2 linked regions of the Xenopus tropicalis genome follow. The protein of the gene in region 1 purifies or fractionates together with the protein of each later gene. This does not show direct contact. Links are inferred from orthologs where the notes say so. Each region holds a gene or a part of one and is shown in the gene's direction. Other genes may lie near its edges.

Region 1 (7,401 bases):
TCTGCCTGGTGTGCTATCCTCTCATCTTTGGGGCAAAGGGTGGCTTGATCAATTATACAGTAATTAAAAATGAGAGGGTAGTCTCTGCTTCTGAAGAAGACCTTATACCCCAACAAGGGAGCTGGTAAAAAGAATAACTGGACATTCAGTATAACCAAAAATTTTAAGATACCAGAAAGCCATAGGAAGGATGTTTCCCTAATACTGACAGTGTTGCAATAACCATATACTGTACATGTTGTCCTGCAAATTACAATTATTTTCTTTTGCAGCTCTCTTTTTCTGGAGGTCCAGCTGTCTTTCTAAGCTTAACTCTTTATATCTGAGACAAATTGGCTTCTTACACCCAGTTAGCATTATGTCATTAAAGCACATTGTGGTTTTTGCATACAACACTATGTTGACACACGTATTTCTTTTCTCCTTCTACTCACAGGCAGACCACCTATTTTGCTCACATCCCATGAAGAGGCATCACTTTCTTGCAAAGCATCCTTAAACCCAAGAAGAACACGTGCAGATGGAGGAGCCTGTGCCATATCATTAATGTGGTGCTTCTAGTCCAATACTATTCACAAACCTGCAGGTGGAACCTAAAGAAAAACAGCACAATTGGGCCTCGGATTAAAAGAAATGCCTACATTTTACCATCATTACAACATACTTAAATTTTAAAACACACCAGATACCAGATCACTTCAAAATTCTAATAAATGCTTGTTGCAGGCATTTATTAGAATTTTCAAGTGATCTATTATCCTTACGGGGGCGATTCTGCACCCTTGGCCACCCTAAAGGTGCCCATACACTATAACATCCGCTCGCTTGGCGATGTCGCCAAGCGAGCGGATCTTCACGGATATCGGGTAGCAAGGGACTTGAAAAAAAAATAATCCGATCGTTTGGCCCTGGGGCCAAACGATCGGATTACATTAGATCTTATGGGGCAGTCGGTTTGGGGACCGCATCAACGAGCCGATGCGGTCCCCGATCCGACCGGATTTTCTAACCTGGCCGATCAAGATCTGGCCAGATATCGGTCGGCCAGGCAGCTCTGTTCTGCCCATACACGGGCCGATTAGCTGCCGAATCGGTCCAAGGGACCGATATCGGCAGCTATAGTCGGCCCGTGTATGGGCACCGGGGCTTCCTGATGACACCCCGTCACTACAATAGAACGTTCTGCACTAGAAGAGCTAAACCGCTCTTCTTCCACCGCTCACCTATAGAGGTAATGGCGGAACCACGTTGGCACTGGCTTAACACAGGGTTAAGCCATGAGAGATTCCTTCTGACAGTGGGAACACGGAAATGGCTATAAGCAGTCAATTTATAGGGCCTGTGGGTAAATCTGCACACACAGAATTTACTCCTTAGCACACATATTGGCGCATCATACACAACTGTGAAGAATGCAACTTTGCGCACTGCAATCTGCAAAAAGTAGAGTAAAACATTACTGGTGATGTTGCTTTTCACAGACAATCAGATACTTTGCTTCGGTTTTCTAACTGTTGAAATCTAATTGCTGATTGGGCAACATCACTGGTAATGATTCACTCCACTTTTTACACAGCACGATAAATATACCCCTAAGTTTTGAGCTTACTGTCTGACTTCGAAACAGTTTCCCTGTAGCCTAGGCTGCCCACTACCATAACCTGAGGAATTTGCTTGTCATGTCATTGGACCAGCGGGCACTTTTACAAGCTGTCAAAATGAACCAACTCAGAAAAAGACAAGAATAGACAACTCAAGACAGGGGGTCACTAACAGAAGAAGAAAACGGCCCCCAAAGTCTCTTACTGCAGTATTTCACTGGTAACCAGTCAATACTAGCATGATGTCAAGTTGTCAGGGAACAGCGAATCTATGCCAGGGTGCCCTTATCCCTGACAATTGGGCATCATGCGAACAGCGGACTGTCATGCTGTACTAGATAGGAGACACTTACGGGGAAACACATATTTTTGAACAAGATTTAAAACCACTTTTCAGCGGTGGCGGAAGCTATAGCCATATACACTACACGCACTACCTAACATTTCCCAGCATCCTAACTAGTTACCTTTTTTTTTTTTTTTTTTTAATTTCCTGCACGGGGTAGTCAGACGAGTTCCTCCCCAAACACGTGTTCTCTAGAGCCGGCCATACTAAGAGAAGTGTATGCAACCTAGCCGACTCCTGATTGGCTAAGTTCCGACCAAGCGCCACACAGCTGATCATTTTATTGACAGCTGCTCGACCAATCAGCAAAGGGCCATTGTTTGGCAAGCGTGTGTGATAAATGGGTTTAAACGCAGCTATTCAAAACTGGGTCAGGTTGGGAGTGTAATTAACATTTTTTGCTGCTGATGCTTGAACTGAAAGGCATATCTTGTAGCAAGAGTACCGTGTCGTAGAACGTTTAGGTCCTTCACTTCCTGCCCTAGTCCATGGTAGTGCATGGGTTAAAGGGGCGGCCGCGCTAGGTGTGCGAGAATTGCGCAGTGCCGGAAGCACTGTGGCAGTGCCAGGAACTGCTGTCAGGTACATTTTTCTTGCATTTTTCAGGGGGGCGTACAGTATCGTACCGCAGATTGTTAAGTGTCACAGTTTCTAAAACTTTCTTCTCGCCGGGGTAAGAGGTACCTGCTGGCTGTCATTCTGTTTATGTGGTGCTCGATTGAGCTGACCGCTTATAAAACTACAGTCATTCTAACTGGGTTTCGGTGAAATGATTCTGAACTGCCGGAAGACGTGTAGTACAGCAGTCAAAGTAATGCCGAGCTTTGCAATAATATTAATCTAGATCGGGCTAGTCTAAGTTGTTTTCTATTTAGAGGGCCATATATTGTGTATGGCACATATTTGTGGGAAGTAGTGTAAGAAAGAAAGGACCTGGTAGTCATAAAATGCCTTTTGATGCCTATAGATTCAATTCCTAGGCTCACAGTTGGGCAGCCCTGCTTTGGATTACTACTAGTTCCTACAAATTATACAGATTATTCAAAAATACTGTCAGACCAAGGATGACATTATGCCAGTTGTCTTGTTGCCTGTTTTTGTTTTTATCACTTTTTCTAAATTTAGTTTTTGGCTTTAGGGATTTTATTTTACAGTAATTTAAGTAGTATGCCCTCCAGTGTACATGAAGTGCTTCAACTGAGGGTCTGTAATGGCACATGGGTATTTTTATGAAATGGGATCTACCATTTTAAAGGAGAAGGTATAAATGTTTTCAGTAGCACTTCAGTCAAGTGTTTTTCTTCACTGTGGATCCCGGTGAGTGAGTGTTAGAGGGCATAACCAGATACATTTTTATCAATTGAATATAGCCTACCAGATCCAAAAGTAGACTCTGTTTTTGGGGAATCTATGGTATAACGGTGTCAGTATTAGAATTTATGAACACCACCAGGTATGTATGTATTTATGTATGTATATCTTTATTTATAAAGCGCTATGGTATATGAAGTTATCAGATATCTGCATAGTGCAAGGGATTTATCTGCTTGGGGGGTCATAAAGAAACAGAGCCAATTTACCTTTATTCATCTTCAAACCATACAAGTAGCCAAACTTTTTACTTATTGTATGATCAACTTACTTGTCAGCAACACAAACTTTTTACCACTTTTAAAAAACAGATCTAGTGCTGCAGGCAAAGGGTGGTAGGTAGTACTATTCAGGACCTCCCCTACATCCACAATATGCCCACCTCCCGTGTGTATTCCTAGTTTTTCTACGTCTCAAGTCATTGTTGGCGTCCAAGTGCTCCTTGTGTAAGCAGGAAAAGCTTGAAATTGTTTGTTTGTCATTGTTTCCAGATACATATACAACCAAACTGTATTATGCATCATGATCATATTGCATTAGTTGTCGTGATAAGGATTATATTATAAAAAAAAAAAACATAATACATGTCTTTCAGGACCTAGAGATATGGCAGCTGGATCTAGTATGTGGGTTGGGAGTGTGTACCTCTATATAAAGTCAGATGAGGTTTCCCTTCCCAGAAAATATACAGACCAAAAGGCACTGATCTATGAAGCACTTAGGAGTGCAATATCAGGCAAGTATAACAGTGTGTTTGAAAAGTGAAAGTCATGAAAATGTATTTTCTAATGTACCTGATTCAAACTTTCAAATCTGTCTTTATAGTTTCCTTTTCCTCAAGACTGTAAGAGTCTTACTGTTTAACCAACTGGAATCTTTACTTTTTGATCTGTTTTACATATTTATGTTATTATGAAGGTGTGGATCTTGTCTTTCTTTTTGGATTTCTATTTGCTATTACTGCCTTTTGAATACACACAACCAACACTCTGCACACCCTTTAAATATAATACATAGGAGGTGGTGAGATTATTACAAGCAGTTTTTATTGAAGGTTTAAAAGGATACAATAGTGCAGTATTAATCTCCAATGGCAAAAAAATCCAACAGTGCAAAGTGTTAATACACACCATCAGTAGGAGTTCAATGAAAAGAAAGCGGTTACCTTTGGATAAAGTGAGAATCACCCCAGCATTTCAGCACAAGCCTTTGTCTAGGGGAATTGTATTGGTGCAGCACATCAGAAGGGTATATATACCACAATATTTTAAAGAAAATTCTTTCCAAATGCCAATTCCTGCGTGCTTGCATCATGTGACTTTGCTTAAGCCGACACGTTAGCAGAAGTTACTCGGCTCCTGTGCATAAACATTAACATCACTTCACTGAAAACATGGCAGTTACCCTCCTGTGTGTGGAATTTACAATGCATATTGCTCACTGCTTGTACACAACCCAGGTTACCATGGCAGCTTCACATATAACCAGAATTCACTATCTTACTTACTGCAACAGGTGGTTTCCAAATCTTATAAAAGTAAACAACCATGGCTACCCTGGGTTTGTTATGAGGTTGACAGACAGATTTTACCCATATCACTCATGCCACTTCTAAGCCAAATCAAATACATATATTCAAATGGTGAATTATAAAGTGTATACATTCATATTCAAAAAAATCTATTCAAAGTGCTATCTTAACTTAATAAAAATGCATCTTAATCTAAACAAAGTGTATCTTAACTTAGTAACAATACATCCAAGGTACAACAACTTCATCTTCAGGGTGTATTATCATAAACTGCATATCTAAGTGCCATCCATAATTCAGATGTAGCCAGTATATCCCAACCACATAAAGTGCTATTATTGTATGTTCAGAGGATACCTTTATATATTGCGACCAAAACAATATATAAAGGTATCCTCTGTCTGGGGCGCAAACACACCAATGCAATAATACTTCAGAAATTAGCACTTATATGGTTTTACCCCAGACTAAAGTTACCAGTCAATAGTTTTCCAAGGAGTACATTACACTGAAGTTTTATCCCTTTTCAGAATTTCCATTTATAAGGTCCCCTTTGCAGAATAATTTCTTACAACACCTATTTACCTCAATACATTGCCTTTGGCCTGTCTGGATCCTCTTCCATTGCTTTCTCTCTATTAAACTGGAAGTCTGCAACCATGGCAACATTACCTTGGCCCACTGTCCTGTTCAGCTTTCCTCTTTAAATTTCACCAATTCCTGGCACACTCAGACCTGTGTGTTTGCTTTAGAGCTTGACTTTCTGCCTCATATCTAAACAGAATCTACCGGAGGCTGCAGAGATTCCATTGAAATCCTTAAGATTCATTCTAGTGACCAGCAGCTTATCCTGTACCTAAAATTCTGCGGCCTGGAACCATGCCAGATATTTCTGAAGGATTATAAGGAACGCAAGCTGCAGATGCAGATCCAGAACAAATTGGAGAATTGTTTTTCTGTGGCACAGCTTCCTATTTTTACAGAACTCAAAATTGATACAGGAGAAATGGACAGTTTACTGGAGAAGGAAGAGCAGTGCCTTAAATATATTAGCCAAATGAAGGTAATATCTAGTCAGAGGCAGTTTTGCCACGTGCTACACCATGCCAATATATCTGTTTCAATGACTGGAGGTGTAATGGAGTTATATAATCCATATTCAATTAAATTGATTAAATGTAAACAGTTTATAATTAATATGTTCCAAAAAAGAAGTATATGCTATAGAGCTTTGTGTGTGGCGCATGTTTTTCCTTGGAAATATATATTTTCTATTTTTTTTCCATATATTTGGGCTTATGTCATAGGACAGGTAAAGGACCTGTTTTTCAGAATGGTCTGGACCTGGGGTTTTCCGCATAATGGATCTTTCTGTAATTTTGTTCTTTAAGTCTTCTAAAAAAATAACTAAACCCAATAGGACTGTTTTGCCTCAATTAGGATTATGTATAACTTAGTTGGGATCACATATAATGTACTGTTAACACAGAAATGTGAATTATTTGCTAAGATGAGTTCTTTCTGTAATTTGGAGCTTTCTGAATAACTGATCTCATACCAGTAAGTATAGGAGGGCCCAAGAAGAGTTCTTTTTTGGAAATTTTTAACCGTGTCATTGCAAATAAGGTAAAAATATTAGTATCAATGTACATGCCTGCACTAACTCCTTAGCAATGCTACTGTGCTTGTTAATAACTGCAGTAAGTAATGAGGCTACCTCATAAATAGCTCTAAATCCCAAAGCACAGCAACTCTGAAAGTTCTTGGTAGCCCACATATAAAAAAAACCCTGATACTTAGAGTAAAAGATTAGAAAAGGTTGTGCTTTAAAATAACCAAAAATCCTGTAGATCTTGCTACAGGCATCAACACAGAGTACAAAATCTGCAAGCCTGAGTGACACTCACTGTGCATGAGGTGCATTTTAAGCTTTAAAATGACTCAATATCTTTTTCCTGACTTATCCAGCCTACTATCCAGAAGGATGATGAATTTGCTGAGATTGATGAACGGTTAAAGAGCCTTAAATTGGTTCCACCTTCTGCCCTAGACAGTGATTTGTCTTCACAGAACTCCAGTCAATGCTCCCTACCACTTTCGCTCCATTCCAATAGGAATTCCCATATTGAAGGCAGCACTTTTTATTTTCAAGGCGAGGAGTTTGGTGAGTTTGATGCGTGTATGTGACAAAAAGCTCATGAACTCTACTATAACCTTAATTCAGTTCCGATATGGTTGTTAGACTTTGGGTTTGAAAATCGAAACATCAGGCCGTTGCTTACTCCCTTTAGGTGGCTGTACCTTGTAAGATACACTCTTTTGATGAGATTGCCAAACAAGCAGATCTTTTCCGGATATTGACCGGATACAGGCCATCGAGACAAGGGTGAATCAACGCTGCTCACTCCAAAGGGATTTTTAAACCTACCCAATTGACATCTGCCCAATTTCCAGCCAGATATCAGTTGAGTAGGCACAGTAGGTAATCGGGGCAACCCTGACATACCTGGCCTAAAATTGGGCAGATCTTAATCAGGCAGATTTGATTTTCC
Region 2 (7,396 bases), on another chromosome or scaffold:
CCAAATTGGGCTACTAATTTAAAGCCCTGGTGGGTTTCCAAAGTACAAATGTGCCATGGTACAGTTCTGGCCTATTTTTTGGAGCCTTGGCGGGTTTGGAGACTTTGCAAAGTTTTTTTCCCCTAACGTGCCTGTCCCACTGCATGCTGGGTAATGTAGTTGTATCTAACAATTAGCCTACAGCTAGGATTAATATAAAACTACAATACCCAGCATGCAATTGGACAGTATAGCCAGAGGCTCCATTTTATATTCCTTTTTGCTCTTTCAGGCTCAACCTGTCTGCCCTACAACCTGCTCTATAGGGAATGTGATTGTACTGTTACTTTCTACTGGGATGTGGGGGCAGTTCTGCAGTTGGTCCTTAAGCTATAACTCTCAGGATATCTTAGGGCACTGAAAGTTGTAGTTCAACACACCCATATGTATATCATTTTCCTACTTGTGTCTGTAAGTTACCTTCCCATATAGATTGTAAGTTCTATGGGGCAGGGACCTTCGTCTTGTGTCTTCGTCCTCTTCTGCCGCGACTAATCTCCCCGAGTTGCCATCAGTTGCTCATCCAATTTCGGCAAATCGACGAAAATGCCTGCACAGCGTGTGCCATCCCACCGGAGACTTACATTGTTGCCAGTGGGATGGCAATTCGGGGAGATTAGTCGCCCGCAAACAGGGAGATTTGTTGCGGGCGACTAATCTCCCTGTGTGCCAGAGCCCTAAGTAGCACTTTATAAATAAAGATATACATACATACATACATGTCTGGGGTTAATGCAACATTCTGAATCCATTTCTGTAGTGACTTTCCCGCTGGACTGGGCACAGAGGGAATTATCAGCCATCCCAGTAACTGGAGAGGGGGGGGGGCACGGGGTATGGGTAGTGATTATAGGCTTATAAAGGCAGGTTTTCCCATATCTACTTTTATTTTTTTTTAAGAATTATTTTCATTGCGCATATTTGGCTATTTTATATAGATTGTAAGCTCTACGGGGCAGGGACCTCCATCCTTTTTTGTCTTTGACTCTTAACTTATTGCAGCTGTATTTATCTTGTATTTATTTGTATTTATTGTTGTACTTTGTATTTATCTATTATTATCTTAATAACCCCGTTTGTATTATTCTACTGTACAGCTCTGCGTACATAAGTAGCGCTTTATAAATTAAGATATACATACATACATTTTTGGGCTACTTTCAAAGTGGCTTTTGGCTAGTTTTGGGCTAGTTTTAGAACTGACTTTGGCTAGTTTGGAAAAATCTGGCTACCCTGCAGTACAGCCTTTCTTTTTCTCCCTCATAAATTTAAATGGAGTACTAATTGTAAGCTCTTTTGGGCAGGGCTCTCTTCCCCTCCTGTATCGGTTATTGATTGCTTTATATGTTACTCTGTATGCCCAATGTATGAAATGCAGTAATTCCTTGTAGAGTGTAAGCTCTTTTGGGCAGGGCTCTCTTCACCTCTTGTATCGGTTATTGATTGCTTTATATGTTACTCTGTATGCCCAATGTATGAAATGCAGTAATTCCTTGTAGAGTGTAAGCTCTTTTGGGCAGGGCTCTCTTCCCCTCTTGTATCGGTTACTGATTGCTTTATATGTTACTCTGTATGTCAATGTATGAAATGCAGTAATTCCTTGTAGAGTGTAAGCTCTTTGGGCAGGGCTCCCTTCCCTCCTGTTATCGGTTAACTGATTGCTTTATATGTTACTCTTGTATGTCCAATGTAATGAAATGCAGTAATTCCTTGTAGAGTGTAAGCTCTTTTGGGCAGGGCTCCCTTTCCCCTCTGTATCGGTACTGATTGCTTTATAATGTTACTTCTGTATGGCCCAACATGTATGAAATGCAGTAATTCCTTGTAGAGTGAAGCTCTTTTGGGGAGAGGCTCTCTTCCCCTGACCTGGTATCCGGTTACTGATTGCTTTATATGTTACTCTGTATGTCCAATGTATGAAACCCACTTATTGTACAGCGCTGCGGGATATGTTGGCGCTTTATAAATAAATGTTAATAATAATAATAATCAGCCATTCTGGTAAATAATTACATAGTTTTTCCCCTGTGTAAATCCCAGCTTGCACACGCCATGAGTTAGGAAACTCCCCGGACTGGAATGAAAGCCAAAGAATGACACTAGTTCCACAAATGACAGCTTCCCACGCTTGGAAAGTCCCCGGATAGATTACAATGAATAACCTTTATCATACGAGAAACGAATCGTCATGAATGTATAAAGAAATTCATGCATAGGATATTCTAAATAAATTGGTCAAAACTATTTTTAATTCGTATTAAACATTACCACGTCATATACAATTACACGTACTGCGCAAGCGCAGATCTAGTTTAGCCGGCGCCATGGTACAGTCGAGGTAAGGGAGCGCTGCGGCTGTGTTTCTCTGTGTAGCTTGTGATTCCCGCGTTTTATATCGCTACGGTGGATTTTTATTGACGATTAAGCGGAAGAATGCGGCGGTGGCAGGAAAACGAGAAAAAAAAATCGGACGCAAAGGCATAGAGAGAAAATGGTCGCGGCGTTCCCTGTTGGAGTAAGCTTACTTTAGGGAAGCGATACCAGTTGTGCTCCGCAACCGGGCATACCCGGGTGCAAGTAATTTCTTTGGGCACAGGTTTAAATGGACAGGACGTATTGGCATGCGTCACGCCCCGCCCCCGCTCACAAGGTTTTCTATAAATTGTTTGTGCGACACAGTTTCTCCCTCAGAAAGTAAGAGAGCTCTGTCTCCAGCCCGTCGCCCTCCCTCCCATCAGCACAGGGTGTGGGCGCTGCTGAAATAGTTGTTACGTAAGTAATTTCCTTGCTCCCTTCTGTGATTGGGCAGCTTGCGGGTTCCCCGCCCCTTCTGTGATAGGCAGCTTGCGGTTTTCCCCGCCCCCTTCTGTGATAGGCAGTTATGAACAATGCAGCCTGAGTCTATTGGCGGATTGGTTGTGGGAGCGATGTCAATCTTTTTTTCGCTTGTAATGGCTTTTGCTGTACCGGACGATGTTACGAAGTTACGATGGAGGCTGCTAATGAAAGAATTGTTAGCATGATATAACCGTGTGGCATTGTTTGTACAGTAGCTTCTAGCGATACGTGGCAGCTTGGCCCCTGCTCCACATGAAGGCTGTGTGTAGCGACCCCCTTGCCTCTGTGTGTGGCTGCCCCAAGGGTGACTAAACGGAATGTCTAGTTATTTTAACTACTCTTTGTGCTTTTTCTTTTTTTAACCAATAGATATTTTTGTAATACAGCTCTCTGGTTTAAAAAGAATGCTTGTTGCTATGGCTTTGTTAGGTTGGCAACCAGACTATGGTACTTATGAGGGAATAAAGGCAGAAGGTGCTAAAGAAAATCTAGCCTTGGGATTGATCTCCTTTTCTACCAATAAAAGAGGAATAATTGGAAGTTGTCTCACAGTATGGATAATACCAAATGGATTAATGCTATAATGTAATTGTATAGCTTATTTCCCCTTTAAACATCCAGCTCAGCTCATGTTCCTGAATGGTACCTCACAAGCAGTCATCTAATGGATTTCTGTCACCATAAGATCATACAAATGGTTACTTGTAATAGAATGACCTATTAGCAGCTTTTTTTTTTAATTATTTGCCATTCTTTTTCTGCTTATTTCAGGAAAGCCAAAGAACATACGCTCTGTGAGGCTAAAGTTCTAAGGTTGCTTTGTATTATACTTTTTTAAATTCAGCCCCTGTCCTATTAATCTTCCAGTCTGGCTTTCAAACCACTGCCTGGTTGCTAGGCTAAACTGAAACACTAGCTGGTTTCTAAAGTAAATTGGAACACTTACTGCTCAGCACCCAGATGGCTGCCTCAATTCTACACTGAAAAAAAACAAAATGAAGCCTAATTGCAAATTGTTTCTAAATACCACTGTCTACATCTAAAGCTGGCCATACACGCACCGATAATATCGTATGAAACCTTGTTTCGTACGATATTCGGTGCGTGTATGGCATGTTGGCGAGCTGAATGGTGTGTGGCGGATCTGGCGATGTTTCGTGCGACCGATGGTTGCATGAAAGATCGTCAGATCGCCACGTGTGTGGCCACCTTAAAGGAACAGTAACACCAAAAAATTTATATATTTTAAAGAAATTAAACTATAATGTACTGCTGCCCTGCACTGGTAAAAGTTTTATGTTTGCTTCAGAAACATTACTAGAGTTTATATAAACCCTGGTGTGTAGCCATGGGGGCAGCCATTCAAAAGAAGAAAAGGCACAGGTTATACAGCAGCTAACAGATAAACCCTGTAGAATACAATGGTGTCTTATCTGTTATCTGCTATGTAACCTGTGCCTTTTTTCCAGCTTGAATGCTGCCCCCATGGCTACACAGCAGCTTATTTATATAAACTATAGTAGTGTTCCTGAAGCAAACACACCAGTTTTACCAGTGCAGGGCCACAGCACATTATATTTCCATTACTTTAAAACACTTTTATTTTTTGGTGTTACTGTTCCTTTAAGGGTGAAGACACACAGAGCTACTAGAAGCAGCTACTTGTCAGACAATGCTGATCATTTACTGATAATTGTCTTTTTTTTAAAAGGTGTTTATTTTTCATTTTAAGAACAATACAACATATACAGACATTAGCTACAAACAATGTAGCTGTTAACTTTTGCAGTCAAATTAGCAAGGTACAGTACAAAGAATTGTTGTTGTTTTATTGTTTCAGCTGTTATAGGATCATATACATTTACCATAGCTTACTATCGGTCTGGATTCAATCATTTCTGTTAGATGGTAGTTATGTTTTAGATTGCGGGTCATCGCTACCCATTCTGCTATTGTGGGTGCAATAGGACTCATCCATTTCATGATAAGTAATTTTTTTGCGTAGAACAGTGTTGCCCTCATTAAGTTTCTGGGTTGATTTTGTGGAACTAGCTCGTCTATCAGACCTAGGAGGCATACTTCTGGGGTCCTGACTCTAGGTAGGATTAGTTGTTCGTTGAGATATTGTATGATTCCAGACCAGTAGTTAGCTATGTGGATGCAGTCCCATACCATATGGATAAATCCTGCGTTGACATTGTGACATTTAGGACATTCTGCATTTGGTGATCTGCCCATAGCTTTAAGTCTGGTTGGGGTGATATATACTTGGTGGTAGAATTTGAATTGTATAACTCTATCTCTAGTGGCTATGAGAAAATCGTATATGTGGTCCGTTGCTTCTTCCCATTGCTCCTCGTTTAGTTGTGGGAGTATCTGGTTCCATTTCATTTTAGCTTTATCAAATGGGGAGGGTGTTACTTTCAGTATAACTTTGTACAGTTGGGAGAGGAGTTTCTTCCCTCCCGGATCCCAGAGTCTTATTTCCCATGGGGTTGAGCTCGTGTCAATTGTTAGTGAACCAAATTGCGCTTTGAATACGTGCCTTAATTGAAGGTATCTATAAAACTGCAAGTTTGGCTTCTCCAATTTCTCTTTGAGTATATTGAATTGGACAAAGATACCATTAATTAGCACATCCGAGAGCCATTTTACCCCATTGGCTGGCCAGTATTGGAAATCAGGCAATTCCTTAAAGTGTTGTAAGTTAGTATTATTCCATAGTGGCATTTGTAGTGAATGACCCTTGATGTTTACTCTGTTTTGCTTTATCAATTTAGCCCATGCTGTCATTGGGGTAGTAAGTACTTCTGGAAGAGGTATTATGTCCCTCTTTTTCCTATACGGTGCATTACGGAGTGCTTCCAATGAACCAATTAGGTTCCCATGTAATGCTGTGAGTGGGTTGTCAGGATCTGGGTTGAACTCTGATAATTGTCTTTACGTGAGTTTTAGCAGAGGCAATTCTCAGTATTGTCTGTGGCAGGGGATTTTCTGGAGTTTAGTAGCCTTGAAAAAGTAGCTGCTACTAGTAGCCCAGTGTGTGTTCACCCTAAAGGTGGCCATACACGGACCGATTTTTTACTTACAAACGACCGATTCGCGAACGATCCGATGCTATCGTTAAGTTATCGTATAGTTGGTGGTGTACGAACGATCGTCGGCCCACTAAACGAGCCGACATTATCGTCCCCAAAATCGATCGGCCAGGTTTAAAAATTTTGGTCGTTTAACGATAAAATCTGCCAGTTGGTGTGAGTGTCAGACATTTGTCTTTCAACGATTGTTCTCTGCGCATGTCACGATTGCCAGCAGCGGAAGTCAACGACATTCGATCGTACGTAGATGTACGATCGTAGGTATTTTACGATAATGATGCGACAAAATCTTTCCCGAATTATCGTTGCCCGTGGATGGCATATCGTATGGGAACTCGATCGCCATACGATCGTTTGTCGATATAATCGTTCATCGCACAACGAGCGAAATCGCCTCGTGTATGTTTATAAAACCTGAGCCATTTCTACGGGCAGAGTATGGAACAGAGTAGGGTGGGTCGTAGGAGCTTGGGATCTTGTTTTTGCTATTGCAGCAGCACATTCCTTTCGTGATAGGCGTTTGCAGGCTTTCCCTTCTGGGGCCCCATAGGAAATCTGCAATGTAAAGTTGTGCTTGAGTTCTGCACTGAGAGGGGAGACATATTAGATTTTATCATCATGCCTAAAACTCTTTTCTCTGGGGGGGGAGACAGCTGTGTTTCTTATGGCAGTGTCACTCCTGTTTATTGGCAGCACACCATGGGCTGCCTGTTAAAGGGGACGTTGACCCAAACGGTAAAATTTATAGCTAGAGAGAATGCACAAAATGCATATGTGATTTGTACACTGTGCCTTTCCCCAAGCCAGGGGACTGGCTGCATTGCTCTAACAATGTATCTAAAGTTGGATGTAAACCCCTCCACCTCAACAGATAAGGGGGTTTCACTGCTCCTTTAATATTGGGAATATAAGGGATGAGATTACCTTGTAGCCTAAATGATCTCTGCACAGGCTTCTAGTTAGTTATGAGCCTCTGCACAGGCTTCTAGTTAGTTATGAGCCTCTGCACGGGCTGCTAGTTAGCTATGAGCCTCTGCACGGGCTGCTAGTTAGCTATGAGCCTCTGCACGGGCTGCTAGTTAGCTATGAGCCTCTGCACGGGCTGCTAGTTAGCTATGAGCCTCTGCACGGGCTGCTAGTTAGCTATGAGCCTCTGCATGGGCTGCTAGTTAGCTATGAGCCTCTGCACGGGCTGCTAGTTAGCTATGAGCCTCTGCACGGGCTGCTAGTTAGCTATGAGCCTCTGCACGGGCTGCTAGTTAGCTATGAGCCTCTGCACGGGCTGCTAGTTAGCTATGAGCCTCTGCACGGGCTGCTAGTTAGTTATGAGCCTCTGCACGGGCTCCTAGTTAGTTTATGAGTATTCTGACTGATAGTGGGACCAGGGGTAAAAATTACCCTTTAGTTATAACCTTTACCTG

What was found.
Region 2: the proteins of tradd (region 1) and birc2 purify together in Homo sapiens (affinity purification with western blotting; 3 studies listed by BioGRID and IntAct, with this or other methods). This does not show direct contact. The link is inferred for Xenopus tropicalis from reciprocal best matches to the Homo sapiens genes TRADD and BIRC2.

Annotation. Positions count from the first base shown.
Region 1 is NC_030680.2:52,148,371-52,155,771, reverse strand, and holds the start of tradd (tumor necrosis factor receptor type 1-associated DEATH domain protein), read left to right. Parts: upstream 1-2,303; 5' UTR 2,304-2,529; intron 2,530-2,533; exon of another isoform or gene 2,534-2,620; intron 2,621-2,640; exon of another isoform or gene 2,641-2,758; intron 2,759-3,913; 5' UTR 3,914-3,924; coding exon 3,925-4,054; intron 4,055-5,631; coding exon 5,632-5,912; intron 5,913-6,817; coding exon 6,818-7,013; intron 7,014-7,401. Other genes in the region: pdcd2l (programmed cell death protein 2-like), read right to left, coding at 435-539. UniProt on the Homo sapiens protein: Adapter molecule for TNFRSF1A/TNFR1 that specifically associates with the cytoplasmic domain of activated TNFRSF1A/TNFR1 mediating its interaction with FADD.
Region 2 is NC_030678.2:162,213,906-162,221,301, reverse strand, and holds the start of birc2 (baculoviral IAP repeat-containing protein 2), read left to right. Parts: upstream 1-2,353; 5' UTR 2,354-2,377; intron 2,378-2,706; exon of another isoform or gene 2,707-2,811; intron 2,812-7,396. UniProt on the Homo sapiens protein: Multi-functional protein which regulates not only caspases and apoptosis, but also modulates inflammatory signaling and immunity, mitogenic kinase signaling, and cell proliferation, as well as cell invasion and metastasis.